Oryctolagus cuniculus: one gene and its partner. The protein of the gene in region 2 purifies or fractionates together with the protein of the main gene of each other region. This does not show direct contact. Links are inferred from orthologs where the notes say so. Each region holds a gene or a part of one and is shown on either strand. Other genes may lie near its edges.

Region 1 (3,644 bases), on a different chromosome or scaffold from region 2:
TAGTTTGAAGATAGGAAATACTGGAAAGCAGATTAACTGTCTGGGTTTCTCATTTGAGAACCTACAGCCTCACCTCTGGTCATGTATCAGGGCTGTCTGTCACAGGGTCCTGAGTTACGTTCTATTTACAAGTGATGCCTCCTATAATCTGCTTTATTGTAAAGGTGGTCTGAAACACCTGTAATTCCTGTTGTCACAGTGTCCAGGTGCAGCTGGTACTGCTGTTGCTTGTTGCCTAACACCACTTAAGGCTAAAAATCCATGCTCAGTGTCACATAAAGGTTAATGAACATAAAGATTTCTTTTTTCCCACATCCAAATTTACAGATGTCTGGATTTCTTTCATAGACTTGAGAGAGTTCTGTGGCTCCCAGGTTAAAGACCCATTCCCTAAAATGATGCTTTATTATTTAGGTGTCTTTACCTGTTAAAAAAAAGAAACATTTATGTCAAACAATTAAATTCATGAATGTAACAACATCCATCTGAACCAAAAAAAGTAAAAATGTACAGTTTTATGTATGTGTGTTCTTAAAGTAATAGGACCATTGTTTTAACAGGTCATTGAGATCCAATATAATAATTTCTCGTTACAGTTTTGGAAAGACATTGTTGATGATAATGAAGTACGTGACCTCATTTCTGACAGAAACAAGTCTCACGGTAAGTCAGTGGAAGCAACGTTATGAAATAATTTGTTAATACTAGTAATAATAATAAATAAAGTATCAGTTTAAGTGAGATTGTGTTTCTTGATTAGACGGTACAGCAGGAGACTGGATTTGGGAGTCTTTATTTCACCCACCTCGAAAGCTGGGCATTAATGATATCGAAGGGCAGCGGGTTCTCCAGGTGGCAGTGATTTTGCGGAATCTTTCCTTTGAGGAGGGCAACGTGAAGCTCCTGGCAGCTAACCGCACCTGTCTCCGCTTCCTGTTACTCTCCGCGCACAGTCATTTCATTTCTCTAAGGCAGTTGGGCCTGGACACTCTAGGAAATATTGCAGCTGAGGTAAGCCTAATAATATGAACATGCACCTTGAAAATCATACCAGAGTTGGCAATGTTATTTACTTTAAAAGTTTCGGAAGTGAGATTTTGTAGTTGCTATATTTATAACATACTAAATGCTAACGTGTATCTGTTGTGTGGAAGAATCACACACTTTTGTGGAAGAAATATTTACAATGAAGCTTCAATTTTAGTGATGGCTGTTCTCACAATAGTTGCGTATTTTAAAGTTATGCCACCTTGTCCTGGTCATTTTTATTAAATTTCAAATATAGAACTCTGAAGGAAGCACACTTCAACAGTACTATTCTTTCTTTTTTTTTTCAGCTTTTATTGGACCCTGTTGATTTCAAAACGACTCATCTAATGTTTCATACTGTTACAAAATGCCTCATGTCAAGGGATAGGTTTTTAAAGATGAGGGGTGAGTGCTCATGTAAGTTTTCTGTTGTCTGAAGCAGATGAACTTTATCATTTGTTCACAACCGTGTGTGCATTTTGCAGGCATGGAAATTTTGGGAAATCTTTGCAAAGCAGAAGATAATGGTGTTTTAATCTGTGAATATGTCGATCAAGATTCGTATCGAGAGATCATTTGTCATCTCACTCTACCAGATGTGCTGCTTGTAATCTCAACACTTGAGGTGCTATACATGCTCACCGAAATGGGAGATGTTGCTTGCACAAAAATTGCAAAAGTAGAAAAGAGTATAGGTAAGACTGAACCAAAAATAATTTATCTGTGCTGCCGAGGAAAAAATTGCAAACGTGGGACTGTACAGAAACCTCAGTTGATATTTGGGTTTCTTGTTACTTTGAGGGAGTCTTTACACCCTCAGACACACTTAACTGTGCACACCTTTTGCCAGTTTTAGATGAGCAGAGACGCGTGTCCTGAGGGAGACCAGGTTCTGCCTTAGGAATCCCGTGTATCACACTGGATGTTCCCAGACTGCTGCGTCTCAGTGCTGTAGGGACAGCTCTCTGGTGCAGCCCGCAGTTACCACTGCTGAGCAGCTGAAGCTGAGTGAAGCTTCTGGTTCGTTTCTGTCCATAACATGGGTGACCTGTCTCAGAGTTACCAGTTTTAAATATACATCCTAAAGCACACCAGCTCAATGGTTTTTTTCCTCTGTGTCTAAAAATGATGTCTCTTGAGTAAAAATAACTAACATCAGAATTAATAAAGATTTAACCTGAAAACCACTAATGTTGAGAAGTTAAGATGTTATTTTTCATATCAGCTGTTTCTAAATCTGGCTACCGGTCAGAATCACTTGGAAGCCTTTTAAAAAAGATGCCTGCCTCCCCCCCCAGAGCTTCTGCGTCAGTCTGCAGGGATTCAGTCCACAGGTAGTTCAGATGTTCATGGACTGGCATTAGAGAAGGGGTATTCTGTACAACATTGTTCTCCAGCAGTGGCCTTGTTTCATAGTATTATTGAGCAATAACTATTGATTTTTAAATTTATTTCAGACATGTTAGTGTGTCTGGTTTCTATGGATATTCAGATGTTTGGCCCTGATGCTTTAGCTGCAGTAAAACTCGTGGAACATCCAAGTTCCAGTCATCAAGTGTTGTCTGAAATCAGGCCACAAGCTGTGGAGCACATCCAAGCCCAGGCGCCTGTAGCTTCTGCCTCAGGTTAGTGTTTGTCGTACTCTTTATCAGTGTGATTATGGGTATGTAAAATTAATAACGAGGGTTAACTTGAATATGCATTTCAGAAAACTGGTAGTTTAAGGGGAGTTTGGGGTGTGTACTTCACATTCCAAGAGTAGTAGGCCAAGGCGAGCACAGAGGCAGAACAGTGTTCCAGAGAAAGCAGTTCCGAGAACGGAAGAGGCTAGGTAGTCACAGTCTTAAGAGCAAGAAAAAGTGACCCACAGGAAACTGACATACAAATGATGGCTTATATTTCTTTATAATTCTCAGGGTGACCATGAGGATACAGGAAGATGATATCCTGACACCCACAAATCTTGGACCCAACACCAGAGAATCAGCTTAGGAGCAGATGCATATGCATGTTTGCCTGTGCACACATATACACACACACCCTAGTGTTCCTAGTGTTCCCCTGGCTCCATGCTGTTTAAAATACATTTCATTGTAATGTAGACCTAGCAATAACCAGTCTTCACCTAAGTCCTCTGACTTCTTCCTCATGGCTCATTATGTGTTAGCATTTCTATATTTAGCACTTGCAGCCTTTTTAGCACTTGTCTGCCTTCCTTTGTCCCCACAAAGAGCCCAACTTCACTTCCTGGCCTTTCCACTTCCTACCTTCCCACCGCCCTTTGACCCCATAACTCTTCTCCAGTATTCTTGAATGGAAGGTGCTTGTTAGCTCAGGTCATGTCACTTCTCCCTCTGCAGTCAGTGCAGAGGCACTCTAGAGTGAGTTTCAATGTCTTTCTCTTCTTACAAACTTGGTAGCATCTCAGTTCCTTCTTCACCTCTTGCTTGTCTCACCTGTGGTGCTGAGTTCTTCACCTGCTCTGAGTATCATTCTGTCCCATCTCCTAGATGCCACATCGTGGCACCTCTCTTTCTTCCCTTCTCTTTCAGCTAGAAATACATTCAGATCTTTCTTATCCTGAGTCACTATGCCCAAAATCTCATTGTTAATCC
Region 2 (3,671 bases):
TGCCCCCGGGATCTGGAATGTCAAGTGAACAGTCATTCCCTGAGCAGCCACTCTGTGCCCAGAGGTCAGACTGGGAGAAATGCACGCACGTGCGCGCGCGCACACACACACACAGGCAGCTGGACAGAGAGAAAGGGGCCCAGGACCTGGCTGAAGTCCCAGCCCCAGACTGAAGCAGGAACACTTATGCAGGATCTGCAAAGCGGTGTAGCTTTACCAAGAAAAACACACTTCAGACAAAGGGAACGCAGGGTAGTGAGCACAGGTCCTGGAGTTCAGCGGCCGCCTTCAGATCCTGGCCTTGGGCCGGCTCCTTCCGTCTCTTGGGGCCTCTCCTTAGCCATCCATAACATGGGGCCAGGGGTCGCAGTTGGTGCATGACTCTCGGGAGGAGGAGGCGAGGTAGTACAGCTCAAAGTGTTTGGCACCCAGCACGTGCGCCAGAAATGCCAGTTACTGCTTCTCTATTAGCACAGGTGTCCAGGCTCAGCCCCTAGGCCCAAGCCGTGGCTTTGGTGGCGGGCAGGGCACGGCGCACAGGGGGCCCTCAGCGTCCAGCTCAGGGGGCAGAAGGAGCCACAGCAGGAAAATGAGCCCCACCCGGCCCCCCGCTTCAGGCAGAGCTGTGCTACAGCTGCGGGGCGGCTGGAGCCAGGCTGTGGCCTGGGGAGGCCACGCTGGGCGGGGGTGAACTGGAAGAAAGAGGAGCTGAGGAGCCTCAACCTGAAGACGCTGTGTGAGCTCGGGCGACCGACTTAACCTTGCTGATCTGCCTCCTCAGCTACAAACAGGAAGCAGGGCAGGCTAACCCCTCCGAGGCGGCGAGTCAATGAGATAAAACAGAACAGAGTGTTTGGAAGGCACCTGGCACGCAGTAAGAGCTCAATCAATAGCGCCCGTGAGTAGCTTCGTCTTTTAGTCACTCGACAAACATTGATTGAGCACCTATTATGCGTCCCACTAGACTTGGAGGATGCCGTGAACAAGATCGGGGAGGGCCCGACCTCCAGGAAGCCGACACGAGACGGGGCAGGAAGACAGTATGTGAGCAGCAACTGAAATTGATAGGGAAATGCCAGAGGAGACGGCAGGGGCGGGCACTGTTTCCACGGGGCTCATGGGAGAGGGGCAGGTAGCGGGGTGAGCTGCTGGGCGCAGAGAAGGGGGCTCTGGGTGGCACCTGATCCTACCTCTCTCTTGGCCCAGCCGTGGGGGCTGAGCCTCCTCAGGGACCCCTTCCGGGGCTCCGGCGGGTGACACAGGGCGGCTGGGCTGTGGGGTGCCCCCGGGGCTGGGCTCGGTACCCTTGTGCAGGGAGCCTTCCGAGTGGAAGCTCTGGTTGCTGTTCTCATCTGCAGAAACAAGAGCCCAGAGGGTCGGCCTGAGGCCCCCAGGCCCCTCCTCCAGGTCCCACAGCCACCCCTCCCCGCCCCCGGCAATGCCTGGGCCCCCACACATACCATTGAGATCTAGCAGGATGAGCGGGCCGCCCCCTCGGGGACTGGCACCCCTGCCTCGCCGCTCTCGGCCACGGGATCGCTCTGCCCCGCCACCTGCCCGCCGCCGCTCCTGGGGGTGACAGGGATGAGGATCAGAGCCAGCGTTTCCCGGCAGCCCTGGCAGAGCCCCACGGGGACAAACGGGGAAACTGAGGCACAGAGAAACCCAAGGCCCAGCCAGAGGTGACAGAGGCTGTGCGTGCTGGGTTAGCCTTGCAGGGGGGGGGTCTGGAGCAGGAAAGGGGGAGGGGGAGGGGCAGCCGAGTAATCCTGAACATCTGGGCTGCGGTAGGCACTGGAGGTGGAGGCCAGGGTGGGGAGGAGCTGGGCTGAGACTGCACAGATGCAGGGTCTTGGGGGGTGGGGGGTGGGCTTGCTCACCTCCTCCTGGGGGTCCACCACCGGCACCCACTTGAAGATGCGAAGGGAAGTGTCGCCCACAGTCACCCAACGCTTCTCCCTGTGGGAGGGTGGGGTGCTGGGTCAGAGAGGCCTGAGGGGAGAGGCGCCCCCCCCCCCCGCGCGCACCCGCCTGACCCGCCGCCTCCGCCTCTGCCCCAGGTACCACATCTGCAAGGTGGGGGAGGTGCACGAGGGTTGGGGCGGTTTTGCGAATGAGGCACTGTTGGAGAGAGCGAGCCCAGGGCAAAGATGGGGAGGGGGCGCCCCGGGCACGCCTCGGGGCCATGGCTAGGGCAGAACCCCTCCGGAGGGAGGGGGCCATCCCTGGGGACGCAGCTCGGAGCCCGGGCCATACTTGCAGGAGTGTCAGAGCTTCAGGGGGCGGGGCACGGACGAGGGCTCCCGCCCGGCGAAGGCACGGCTGGGGACCACGCTTTGTAGACCTCCGGGGGTAGCCCGGGGAAGGGAGACGGAGCCCTGGGGATCCCGCGCACAGCTGGTGGCCGGGGGCGCACCTAACACCTGGGGGGCGCAGCTGGCGAGGGGAGGGGAGGCGCGCGAGGGGGCGGTGGTCCCCGCCAGGGTCCCGGCCCCGGCCGCGGGGCAGCGCTCACCATCGCCGGACTTTCTCGATGGTCGCCATCACCTTCTTGATGTCATCCTTGGCCCGGCTCCGGGTCTCAGCCCGTACGGTCCGGCCGGCCATGCTGGCGGCGCTGGGGCCGGGGCCGAGCCCGCGGCGGGGCTGCCTCCCGTCCGGCGGGCTCAGGCTCGGCGCCAGGCCGGGGCGCCGCTCTCGCCGCCCGCCGTCCCCTCCGGGAGTTGGCCGCGCCCTCCCTCGCTCCCCAACGCCTCCGCGAGTCCCCGCCCCGCTTCCTGCCGCCGCGCCCCGCCCCGGCCCGTCCCCGGAGCGGCCGGGCGGCGCGGGTGCCGGAGCCCAGGCCTGGAAGCCGGGCCAGCCCCGCCCCGCCCCGGGCCCGCCCCTTCGGGGGCGCCCGGACGCGCAGCGCCCCCTGTCCGCCGCCGAGAGCGAGCGAGAGTTGGGGGCCCGCTGGCTCGGCGACTTGGACGCGCGCGGCTCCGCCGAGGCGGCGCGTCCAGACCACGTGGGCGCTCGGGTGCACGAGAGGGTCTGGGTGCAGGTGTGCGAACCTGAGACACCGTGTGTGTGTCCCCGGACACCCCCTCCTCCCTCGCCGGGCTGGCTGATTCTACGCTGCCCAACTTAATTCGTTCACCCATTCATTCATTCAACGATCTAGCAGCCCAGTGCCAATTACGCGCCACAGCTGCACACATGAGTGAGTCTCCACCCCCCAGGATGGCTATAGCGAGAACGACAGGCCATACCGAGTGTGGGCGGGCCAGCGGAGCCGCGCGGCCTCCCTTCTGTTTCTGGGGGAGTGGGAATTGGTAGAGACTTTCCCATGAAGCTGAACAAAGACCAGCCCAGGAATCCAGCACGTCAGCACCCAGCAGAAATGCTTAGACAGGAGCACCAAGAGCCGTGAGCTGGGATGTTCACAGCCGCGTTCTTAACAGCCCCGAACCGTAAACGGCTTACCAAGAGGAGACTGGGAAGTGGGTTGCAGCTATTGATACCCAAGACAGAGACCCAGCGGGCAAGAATGCCCGCTGTCCCACTACACCCAGCGACGGGACAAGTCTCCCTCAGCAGATCTTGAGTTTAAGCCAGATACACCACCTGGTTCTATTTCTATGAAGTTCGAAAGCAGATAGGAAAATGTCAGGATTAGGAAGCCGGGAGGG

Evidence for each region. Proteins that work in one complex are often made in the same cells at the same time.
Region 1: the proteins of BCL7C (region 2) and ARID2 purify together in Homo sapiens (affinity purification with mass spectrometry; 3 studies listed by BioGRID and IntAct, counting the BioPlex papers as one, with this or other methods). This does not show direct contact. The link is inferred for Oryctolagus cuniculus from reciprocal best matches to the Homo sapiens genes BCL7C and ARID2.

What each region holds. Positions count from the first base shown.
Region 1 is NC_091440.1:136,610,206-136,613,849, forward strand, and holds part of ARID2 (AT-rich interactive domain-containing protein 2), read left to right. Parts: intron 1-596; coding exon 597-663; intron 664-760; coding exon 761-1,011; intron 1,012-1,337; coding exon 1,338-1,434; intron 1,435-1,514; coding exon 1,515-1,724; intron 1,725-2,486; coding exon 2,487-2,654; intron 2,655-3,644. UniProt on the Homo sapiens protein: Involved in transcriptional activation and repression of select genes by chromatin remodeling (alteration of DNA-nucleosome topology). Required for the stability of the SWI/SNF chromatin remodeling complex SWI/SNF-B (PBAF).
Region 2 is NC_091450.1:6,250,982-6,254,652, reverse strand, and holds the start of BCL7C (B-cell CLL/lymphoma 7 protein family member C), read right to left. Parts: upstream 2,820-3,671; 5' UTR 2,608-2,819; coding exon 2,516-2,607; intron 1,960-2,515; coding exon 1,881-1,959; intron 1,570-1,880; coding exon 1,461-1,569; intron 1,353-1,460; coding exon 1,191-1,352; exon of another isoform or gene 965-1,190; intron 875-964; exon of another isoform or gene 13-874; coding exon 1-12. UniProt on the Homo sapiens protein: May play an anti-apoptotic role.